Linked DNA regions of Nothobranchius furzeri. The protein of the gene in region 3 interacts with the protein of the main gene of each other region in a pairwise test. Links are inferred from orthologs where the notes say so. Each region holds a gene or a part of one and is shown on either strand. Other genes may lie near its edges. The genes, in order: txlna, rrp7a and tfip11.

Region 1 (2,827 bases), on a different chromosome or scaffold from region 3:
ATCTTTGGTTTATATGAAAAGTAAACAGTACAGTGAATACATCCTATGGTAGACTGAAAAACATTTGCATTTCTGTTTCGGATGGCATTGCTTTGTCGAAACTACATATGTAGTGCACAGGGGAAACAGGCGTGTGTTTGGAGGAAACCAAATCAAATTAGACTTCTCCTCTCAGTTTTCTCACTTGGCTCAGATCAATGCACATTTCAAAAGCACCCAATGTAAAAGTATCAACCCCTTGGAAGAAAAAGGCCTTAAACTGTGAGATATGTCGTCCCCGACACATTTATGCAGAACAGTGGATATGATGAGATTACATTCTCAGCTAAGTGCTCGTGGGTCGAGGCCACAGAATAAAACCAAGATGCAAGCGTTGCATAGAGGAACTTTGACATTCTTTAGAATAAACCTGACCAGAAGCCTTTGCCGTTCCCAGGACCATCACAGATATAAACAGGTACATCCCACACACACACGGAACAAAGATGGAGTTAAATGAGATAAAAGTGCTAATACTAATAACTAAACTGGTAATGTGCAACATAACCCAGGAGAGGTAAGGATGACAAATTTGGAGTAAAATGAATGAAAATGATCAGCTTAAATGAAAATATCCTTTATTTTAACCCCCGATATCAGTGACTGTATGATTTCAACAATAAATACAGACTCACATTTAAACACTACACAAATGAATAAGAGTTCAAACGTTTTAGTTCTAAAACGTTCTTTAATAATCCAGGATTTACTCTGCCAAAAAAAATCATAATAAAAAAAGGATAAAAGGCTGGACTGAAAAGCTTCCCTCAACAGTCCCACACAGCTCTTACTTAAAGGAAGGAATGGTAGAGATGGAAGAAAACAACACTTAAGACACACACACACACACACACACACCTGTGGTAAACCTGCTTAGGTGGTGTCCTCCCACACAGCTCAGTAAAGCCTTCAGCAACAACTCTAGTTATTGTAATAAAATGATCTGAACTAGCTTAGTTTCAGCTGGAGAGGATGGGGTGAAGGAAGCCCGTCTGCAGATGACGCTGGGAGGACACACGTTAACCCTTCTGTTGGACTCATCTGGTGTAAATCTGATTCCAGCTCAGCGTTGAACATCAGCTGCTCCAGCGGCCTGTAGGCTGGTGGTTGGACGTTGAAAGGGAGGAGGAGACGAAGCAGTCCTGCTTTATTCCTGTGCAGGGACAAGAACAGGGACAGGTGGGGAGTTTGCCTCTTCTGGGAGTGCAACTGTGTCCAGCTGTGGCTCACAGTGGCAAGGTGGGGAGTCAGAGGAGCTGTCTGGTACAGGACAGGTGCTGGCCTCCAGCGGACAGTCCGTGGGAGGCGGGGAGGGGGAGTCAGTCCCTGGGTCAGAGGTGTGGGGTCCTGCGGCCCCACCGAGGTTCTGGACCTTCTTCTTTAGCTCGTTTCGCTCCACCTTAAGTGCCCGCCTCAGCTTCTCGAGCCGCTGGACTTTACCCTGCAACGCGTCGAAGTCCCGATCTCGCACAGATTTCTGGGAATAGAAACAGAAGCTTGGGACTCAATCACACGTGAAACAACAGTTCGGAAGGCGCTAGCGTCAGAACGTCGTGATGCGTGGTCAACAGCTGTGGCTTTTTAAATAACCAGCTACTAAAGTCTCAAAGTTTTCCAACAAAGTGGAACTGAATCTAAACAGCTGGGAACAGCAGTGGGTGATCATGCAGTGACCCCTGACCTATTGTTGCCATGTCAACCAAATGGTTAAGGAAAGGGTGAAGATGGCAAAAGCCTTCACGGAGTCTACAGTCGTGGTCAGATCCTTGTTTAACGCACATCATTGGCATGAAGAGAAGCGCAGCTGTCTGAGGTGTGATCTTATCCCTACTTACTAAAGAAAGAACCCCACAAGTTCTTGTTCCGACGGAAACATTTAGCTTAAATGAAAACCACAACAGTGGGCACCGCAGGGAAGCAAAGGCAAGGCTTCTGTTGAACATTTAACCGTGTTTATTACGGGCCGTTTATACGTCTCTACCAAACTACAAATACAAAGTTAAACAAAAAGAAAAATATAAAATTATCTTCCAGCAAACACACGTGCTGCGCGTGTCCATAAAAAAAATCTGTTTCGGTCTTCTACTGGGTTCGCAAATCAGTCCGTGTGTCATGACGTCACACGCCCAACCCTGTCGGCAAAGTGGCCCGACCTTACTCTGAACACTCTAGATCTGTGAGAACCAAATCCAAACTCCAGGAGCTGCTTTACCTCCTCAGCCATCTCCAGCAGCGCCTTGTTGCTGCTCTCCCACCTCGAGCGATACATCGTCGTCTCCTTCTCCAGCTTCTTAATCTTTTTAGTCATCTGTGAACCCAAAGCAAGCACGGCTCCTGTTTGAGCAGGTAGACCCAACAGAATTATCCACGTTCTCCTCACAACCACCCACCTTCTCCATCTCCTGTTTGAAGGTGGTGAAGACCTCGTTACTCTTAGACAGCGTGGTCTGGAACTCCTCAAACCTCTCGGTGTACAGAGACAGCTGGGAGGTAAAACAGCAGAAGTGAGACGACAGCTGCTTTGCAGAGACTCTGAAGAGTGAGCTTAAGAGAGACCTGCTGTTTGAGGTGGACCTCCTGCTGCTTCATTAGCTCACACATCCTCTGAGACTCCACAGCTTCCTTCAGAAGCTAAAGAGTTACAACAAACTGGATGTTAGTCTTATGCGAAACTACCAGAGACATCAGACGCAGAACCATACAAACAGAAACTCACAAAGTCTTTCTCTCTGTCGTGGCGCTCCTCCGACTCCTTCAGCAGCTCCTGCGCCTGATGCAGTTTGGCATC
Region 2 (3,833 bases), on a different chromosome or scaffold from region 3:
CTTATAAACACACAAAGTTTGGAGGGGACTGAAGCTATAGATGGGATTTGGGTAAAAATGTGACATTTGAAATAATATATAATTTTATTAAACCTTTAGCCAAAATGCATTTTTTTGCGAGGGTCCCCAGTGTAGTAGCTCTTTTTAAGGAACCTCCAAGGGTTAAAGTCCAACTTCAAATGACTTGATCTGTTCAATGCACCTGTTAAGACCCTTCTGGTGATGTCAGGCTGATTACATCATCAAAGACCATTCCAGATCAAGACCCAAGAAAAACTGGAGGGGGTAAAAGTCACGTGGTATGCGCAGCAGCAGCGTCATTTCCGTTGTTTACGGAACACCCAGTTTTATCATCCATACAAGTGAGTTTCTGTGGAGGATCACAGGGAGAAAGTTAATAAACATCCAACCCCAGGGTTTGTTTGGTTATTTCTGCAAACAGATGCCTTATTATCACAGACCTGATTTATAAACAAGGTTTTAAACAACAGTCATTGCTTATGAATGCCCTTTACTGATCTGAGATCATGTGAAACACCACTGTCAGAAAGCTTAAAGCCTCTGTCTTCTCCCCATCCGGTCTGTTCATGGGTTCCTGAATGGGGCTAAAAGAGCTATTTTCTAATCTGCTTTGCCTTACGCCCTGGATCTCACATATGTTACTTCTATTTAAATGAAAAGTAATGATGGGTGTTTCGACCACGCCAGTCATGTACTTTGAGATTTATCACCTTGTAAAAGTTCGTAATTAGCACGTCCACAAAGCGGACGTCGTTATGTCGCATATATGACATCACCACATAATCTCCTCTTCCCTAGCTTAGCTGCTACTTACCACGTGCATGGCCAGATGGTCTTTCCTCCTGAAGGAAGAATTTAGAGTTTGCTGAACCTACAGCCATTTTTCTTCTGGTTTTCATTGTGTCTCGTTCGGTGACGTCACTTGTGGTGATGCGCATTTGTAGTTCTGGACTTATTTTCACAAAAAACCTAAAATAATGAATAACCCACCCCCCACCCCACGTTCGAAAATAAGACCTTGCTTTGCATCAAAATGTGTCTTTAAAATTCACGGACATCATATGTGAAATCCATGGCACATAACAAGCGGTATTAGAAAATAGCAATTTTAGCGTCTTTGACTTTTAATTTTTACGTTCTTCTGGGGACCCATGAGCCGACCGGAAAGGAAGAAGACTTGCAGCGTCTCCGCCATATTGGGTGGGTTCTCCACTCTCCAAACCCAACTATGTCCATTTTTGTGCAACCTATGGTGGCAAGGTGCAAACCAGAGACTGTAGAAAGAGGCACACAAAAAAAAAACACACATTACAGAAAACACATGGGATTGCCCACCTAGTGAGACTTTTTTTAAATGTACTTAAATTTTTGTATTTTTTTAATTATATTTTTATTAAGGGACCTACACCACGTGCCATTTTTGTGGAAAAAGCATAATGAAATTTTTTTTTAGTTGGGTAAGTACCTTTCTCAGTAGAATACTTTGGGGGCGACCCATCAAAGATGGCGGCTGTGGCGATGACTGTTGTTTCACAATAAAAGTATTTAGAGAATCTTCATTACACATGAATGCGCTTGTATTTTTTCTAGGATAGCATGAAAACAAATTCAAATAAACAATGTCAACAATAAAATATAATAAATCACAGACGGTATCACTTCCGGTTCAGACAAAGGTCGTACCAAAATGGCGGCGTCCGGGAAAAAACATGTCCGTAACACGGCATGTGTCATTCCTGGTGGTTTTACTGGTATTTATCATCTGTATCTGTTATATAAGTCCCATATTTACCGGCTCGTTTAGGTAGGAACCATTTGCTCACGTGTTCGATCTGTTTTCAGTTCTTTCCCTCCAGTTCAGCCCCGACAGTCCAGCTCAACACAGCGTGTTCGTGAAGGAGCATAAAGTCCGAGCTGAGAGGAGTTCTGGCAGACCGTTGGACCGGACCTTGTTTGTGCTGAACGTCCCTCCGTACTGTTCCAGGGTGGGAGCCGGAGCCCGGTCCGTTGGGAGCGGTAACTGGGTTCTTGTCAGCCATGCTTAGTTCTTGTTTCTGTTTCAGGAGGTCGTCAGGGAACTGTTCTCCATCTTTGGCAACGTTAGCTCAGTAGAGCTGAGAGACCATCCTGGTTCCTCTGAGGGTTCCGAACCCAAACTGTCCAGGTTCTTCAGACCAGCTGAGAAACAGGTTCTCCTTCATCCCACTCCTCTTGTTATTTTTAATCTTTCCTTCAGAATCCTCAGCGCACTGAGTCCTCTGTCTGTTTCTCTTAGGGGTTTAAAGTCGGTTACATTGTGTTTGAGAAGTCTGCGAGTGTAGCAGCAGCGAAGTCCCATCCTCGCCACGTTCCTCTGGTGGTCAGCACAGATCAGCGTCCAGTGAAAACAGGAGTTCAGAGTGAGTCACTCCCCTTCTTTAGTCACCCCTCAGGGTTTTATGTAAAAAGTTCTGCTGATTTAGGAGACTGCAAACACATTCCCGACCTGCAAAACCCAGAAAAATGTCCAAGTTTAGGGACTTGGACATTTTCTTCAAAAGTGATTAAATGTCATGTTTAATTTGTCTACTAGATTGAACCTTAGCTCCCTAACAAAATAACACCTCATTTGTCAAAATCCACCCAGCCAATGCAGATATTAAACCTCTAACAACCCAAATTAACGCCCATTTGTTTCAATTGGAAATCCATTAAAACCTGTGATCAAATTTTGATTAGCTGTCTAGTTCATCTACGGATAGCCAGAGTGGCCAAATGACCTCAAACATATTGTAAGGGTTTGAATAGTAAACTATAGGCTAAACGTTTTATTTTGAAGGCGAGCTCAACGGGTGTTAACAGACTGCTGTACCAGTGTTTCTAAAGCTTAGACTGGTAGAAAATAGGCACTAAGGTTAAAGTCTGACAGGAATCAATACATTTTCATGCATTTAATCTACTGATTTATGTTTATACTTTCTCAAGAGAGCTTGAAGTGAGTTAACTTGTAAAAATTTTACAGGAGGAAAAATATCGAGCTATATATCGTACAACGCAATTCAGCAAAAAGATATCGAGATATAAGTTTTGGTCCATGTCGCCCAGCCCTAGAAAAACGCTTCTGAAAGAGGCATCGCCTGGAGGACCGAGAGAGCGGCACTGAGGCAGTGATAGACCACACCCCCCTCAACCCCCTCGCTTGTGCCGCTGGAGTTTCTAAATCTAAAAACGAGTTTTTAACGAGCGCGTGCACGCGCTCACACAAGACTTACCGCTCAGGAGAAAAGCAGACACAGATTCTGCAGAATTCTGGGGGACTTCCTGTTAAACCCGATCATTAGATGAAAAGGGGAGGAGGGCTTTTTTTCAAGGAGGCAAGCGGGTTCGAGCACCAGTGTGTCAATTCGGCAAGTGAGCGGCTGAGCCAGGTGGAGGAGCGGCTGCCTCACCTGGAGACCGGTGCGGTGCAGCCACGTTTTTCAGCGTAGCCATCAGCCACAGCTGGCTCTACGTGAATGTGGAGCAGAGTTTTAACCTGAAGATGGAGATAGAATTATGGTTTTGGGCTGAAATATTAAATTTAAAGAAAGCAGCACTAAACTGCAACACTAATGATTACACGTGTGTGCAGCACCATTAGACACTCAACTATACAGGTTATCAAAAGTGAATGTAATTCTCCTGAAGCACGTTCGGACACAAGTGGTTTCCTCCAACGGGTGAATTTAATGAACTTTCATACACCATTATCCACCGTGAAAACTACAGAAAACATGGACAAAACGGGTGTTAGCTCTTAAAGAAATAAAATACAAATCATGGCTTTAATCTCA
Region 3 (3,600 bases):
CATCATCTTGTATTCCTCATAATAATCGGTTTGTAATGTCTCAAAGATCTGGGCACACTCCTGAAGAGACAAGCACTACAAATCAGCTTCACAATTATGAAATATAAAGCTGGAACTCCTTAATTTGAACAGCTTGCAGACCGGCTCCAGTCAGTGTTTGTAACACAAACCTGTAGGGTCGGGCCCTCTCCCGGTGCCGTCTCTTCAGAAGGAAAACGCTCCACTAATGCTAAGACAGCTTCCATTCTTCGGATGGATTCTTGCTCTGACTCCAGTCTGCTCTGCAAAGCTTTTGACTCATGGCTCAGAGAAACAACCACGTCTTTTTCATGCTGCAAACGTCTGGCAGACTACAAAAGATGCACAAAAAAAAGAAAGAACGCTTTAGTAGAGATTACAAGTTCTTCACATTTTTCTCAGGTTGCTGACTTATTAATATCCTATTCTTGTAGCTAAATATGTTGTAAATAATTCTTGGTTTCCTCTTACCTGTAATATGTTTTGTTCTGTCAGGTCTATCAGAAGCTGCAGATTATGCTCAAGTTCGGGGAGAGCAAAGCCAGATACCTTTTGATCCTGTGAAGCCAAGCTTGGTGGAGCTTCATCGGGAACACTGTGTTTGTGAGACATCTGACTATAACTGTAGTATACCTTCTGCTCTCTTCCAGTCATATCTATTACCTAGACCAAGGGAAATGTCAGGATAAATAAGTACTATGAATGTAGCCAAAATGTACTTAAATTACTGATGCTTAATAAAACACTGAATCCTCAATTTTGCACCTATGCAGCCATGCCAACATAAAAAACAAACAGCACACAAGTGAAACATAAACATACCTTGACCTGTGCCAGCTCTCCTGCAGTTGCAGATGTGCTCCGACTCACTATTTTACCTTTAGCCTTCAACTCATCTGCTGTTCTGTAAGAGTACTTGGGCTTCTTTTTTCCTGCAGGCCCAGCTGGATCCTTACGCCACTGGCCAAGTTCCTTCTGAAATTCCTATATAAAGATATAGAAAATTACCACAATGACTCTATAGACTCATTTGATCAATAAAATCAAACACAAAAATAAAAACAACATTGTAAAGACAATTTTTTTTCTCAGTACTTTACCTTCTCCTCTTCTTCCTCTGAGTCAACTACAGGAAAGTCCTGAAGACTCTGCTGGGTTCTTTCATTGCCATAAGCACCAACCGCTCCTTTTCCCTTACGGATCTTTGCCTCAATGGGGTTTATGATACCTACAGAGAGAAAGTACATTACAAGTGTTTCAATTCCACCACATCCATGTAAAAAACAAAACATTTTACAACATTTTTAAAAGAACAATCTAAGTCAACTAAACACACCTTGAGCATTCTTCCCCAAGCCTTTCCCTGGCTGGTAACCCATCTTCTGCAGAAGTTTCTGTCCAATTCCTTTGGTGTGTTTCTCCCAGTTACCAATTCCTTGTCCAGACTGTATTCCACCTGCAAACCTCTTAGACTGATTTCCACAGAAATTACCCTAGAAAAACATTTTTTCCCAACATCATTATTTTCACTATTTTCTTCTACAAACAATGGACATCACAATGTGCGCACATTTAAAAATTACCATCTGGAGTTTTTTGGGTGCAGTCACGCGTGAAGGGGGGAGTTTTGCAGAAGTATCATCATCAGAGTCGTCAGAGCTGCCTTCTTTTTCCCGCTCTTTCTCTTCAGCAGCACTCTTACGCAAACCACCACTCACAAAGCTCACAGGTACAGTGTAGTCTTTGGATCTAAAAAGAAATCATAAATATTTTATTAGAACATTTGGTTAGAAATTGTTTCAGAATTGGAATTTGTGTCAAAAGCAAGCCATTTATACTTCTTGCCACCAAAGCTGGGCCTTTCATCTTCATCAGAATCCTTCTCGGCCCAGATGCCATATGTGGCCTGCTCCTTGCTCTGCCTGAATTTGCGACGGTCTGGGTTGAACTCATTGGCTAAATCCCAGTCAGTAATCTCAAAACTCTCCACCTCCACACCTTCCTCTTCCTCCTCCCTCCGCCCGTAAAGGTGGGACATTGACATCTCTGCAAGTTATAAACAATATAGATCTTAATGAAATGTGACCGAATCCTAAAATTACACGTGCATTTATTTTCCAGGAAAGAAACATTGTGACTTCAAAATCAGGAAAAAGATGCATATCTAGTTTATTAAAGGCAAAGAAGAGGGAAATAAAATGCGATAACTAAGTCAGGTATGAAGTCAACGTTTGTGGTTTAACTAACGATAAATTAATAATGACAAAAAGGTTTACAATCAATAACGATGAATACACAAATAAGACTAAACGTGAAACATCGATTATAAAACTATACAAATCTGCTTAGAAGAAAACGGAGCGAAGGCTAATTACTAGCAATAACGCACGTTCTGTAGCATTAATGTAAATACACACAACATGTTAGTAGTGATAAAAAACGACGATTTCGTTTAAGTTAACTTACTAAAATATTAATTACAACCTTGGTCTGAGATCAAAAACACATATCTTATGTGGTAATAAGACGAACTGCAGAGACACGAACTGTTGACGAATGATATATTTTTGTCAAAAGCAAGTTCTTCCGGTTTAGCCGTGTCACTTCAATTAATGTACACTACAAATAATTTCATTAATATTTTAAAAGCAGCTTAATTAAAACCAACCATTCAACACATACATTTTTATAAAGCGGTCAATATTTTTTTTAAAAATAAAAACAATCGAACAACAGCAAATCTGTTGAATTTACGTGACTTTTAACTAGACGGAAATCACACCGGAAACAGAACAATGTGTTGCACTTGAATAGGTCATCTGCGTTTCCATTTTTAGCTTTCAGCTCTCAAAATGCTAAATTTGGTTTTGAGTTCCATGTTTTTATGATACTTACGTTTGGAAATGTATGTACTTATGTAAATTACATCTGGCAATTCACACAAATGTCGTACATATCCGATGAATGGCAGGTAGCTCGGCGTCGAAAAGGTGTATGTAGGCAATTTAAATCTCATCAAGTTCCTCTAAACTCACCATCATGCCATCAGGAGCAACTGGATGTTGGAAAACTCATCAGAAGAATCAGAGACAACATGTAAGAAGTTACGCACACACACATGTATGTATGTATGTATGTATGTATATATATATATATATATATATATATATATATATATATATATATATACATATATATATATATATATATATATATATATATATATATATATATATATATATGAGTAACAATATTTATCTTGCATAATAGGTGAAATCATACATCTTCCCATAAGTTATTGGTTTGCTTATATCTTTCCTTCTTAGGTTTGAACTAAAGTACGAAGATTTTTGGAAAGACTGGAATGGTGAGTTTGTTGTAGATATGTAGGTTGAGTTAAGCTTAGTTATTTAGTGGATCATCTTCTCTTCAGAGAATTTCCAGGCAGCAGCAGCATCCCTAAAACCTCCAGGGGACAGTGACACTGAAAATCAGCTGGAAAAAGCCCCAGAAGAAACACTGATGTGTGTTTGTTATGGTCTTGGGTCTTTTTCTTCATGTGTAGCCGCTCGCTACCAACTT

The links.
Region 1: the proteins of tfip11 (region 3) and txlna interact in binary tests that used the Homo sapiens proteins (3 or more experiments, as listed by UniProt). The two-hybrid records come from large-scale screens. The link is inferred for Nothobranchius furzeri from reciprocal best matches to the Homo sapiens genes TFIP11 and TXLNA.
Region 2: the proteins of tfip11 (region 3) and rrp7a interact in binary tests that used the Homo sapiens proteins (3 or more experiments, as listed by UniProt). The link is inferred for Nothobranchius furzeri from reciprocal best matches to the Homo sapiens genes TFIP11 and RRP7A.

The regions. Positions count from the first base shown.
Region 1 is NC_091751.1:3,237,611-3,240,437, reverse strand, and holds the end of txlna (alpha-taxilin), read right to left. Parts: coding exon 2,756-2,827; intron 2,671-2,755; coding exon 2,596-2,670; intron 2,523-2,595; coding exon 2,430-2,522; intron 2,348-2,429; coding exon 2,252-2,347; intron 1,517-2,251; coding exon 1,187-1,516; 3' UTR 601-1,186; downstream 1-600. UniProt on the Homo sapiens protein: May be involved in intracellular vesicle traffic and potentially in calcium-dependent exocytosis in neuroendocrine cells.
Region 2 is NC_091752.1:66,978,844-66,982,676, reverse strand, and holds the start of rrp7a (ribosomal RNA-processing protein 7 homolog A), read left to right. Parts: upstream 1-1,210; 5' UTR 1,211-1,708; coding exon 1,709-1,772; intron 1,773-1,863; coding exon 1,864-2,006; intron 2,007-2,084; coding exon 2,085-2,210; intron 2,211-2,296; coding exon 2,297-2,420; intron 2,421-3,833. UniProt on the Homo sapiens protein: Nucleolar protein that is involved in ribosomal RNA (rRNA) processing. Also plays a role in primary cilia resorption, and cell cycle progression in neurogenesis and neocortex development.
Region 3 is NC_091757.1:45,000,468-45,004,067, forward strand, and holds the start of tfip11 (tuftelin-interacting protein 11), read right to left. Parts: upstream 2,613-3,600; 5' UTR 2,503-2,612; exon of another isoform or gene 2,485-2,502; intron 2,065-2,484; 5' UTR 2,063-2,064; coding exon 1,857-2,062; intron 1,768-1,856; coding exon 1,602-1,767; intron 1,512-1,601; coding exon 1,355-1,511; intron 1,247-1,354; coding exon 1,119-1,246; intron 1,003-1,118; coding exon 841-1,002; intron 682-840; coding exon 490-681; intron 351-489; coding exon 171-350; intron 61-170; coding exon 1-60. Other genes in the region: srrd (SRR1-like protein), read left to right, coding at 2,903-3,114, 3,345-3,385, 3,452-3,600. UniProt on the Homo sapiens protein: Involved in pre-mRNA splicing, specifically in spliceosome disassembly during late-stage splicing events. Intron turnover seems to proceed through reactions in two lariat-intron associated complexes termed Intron Large (IL) and Intron Small (IS).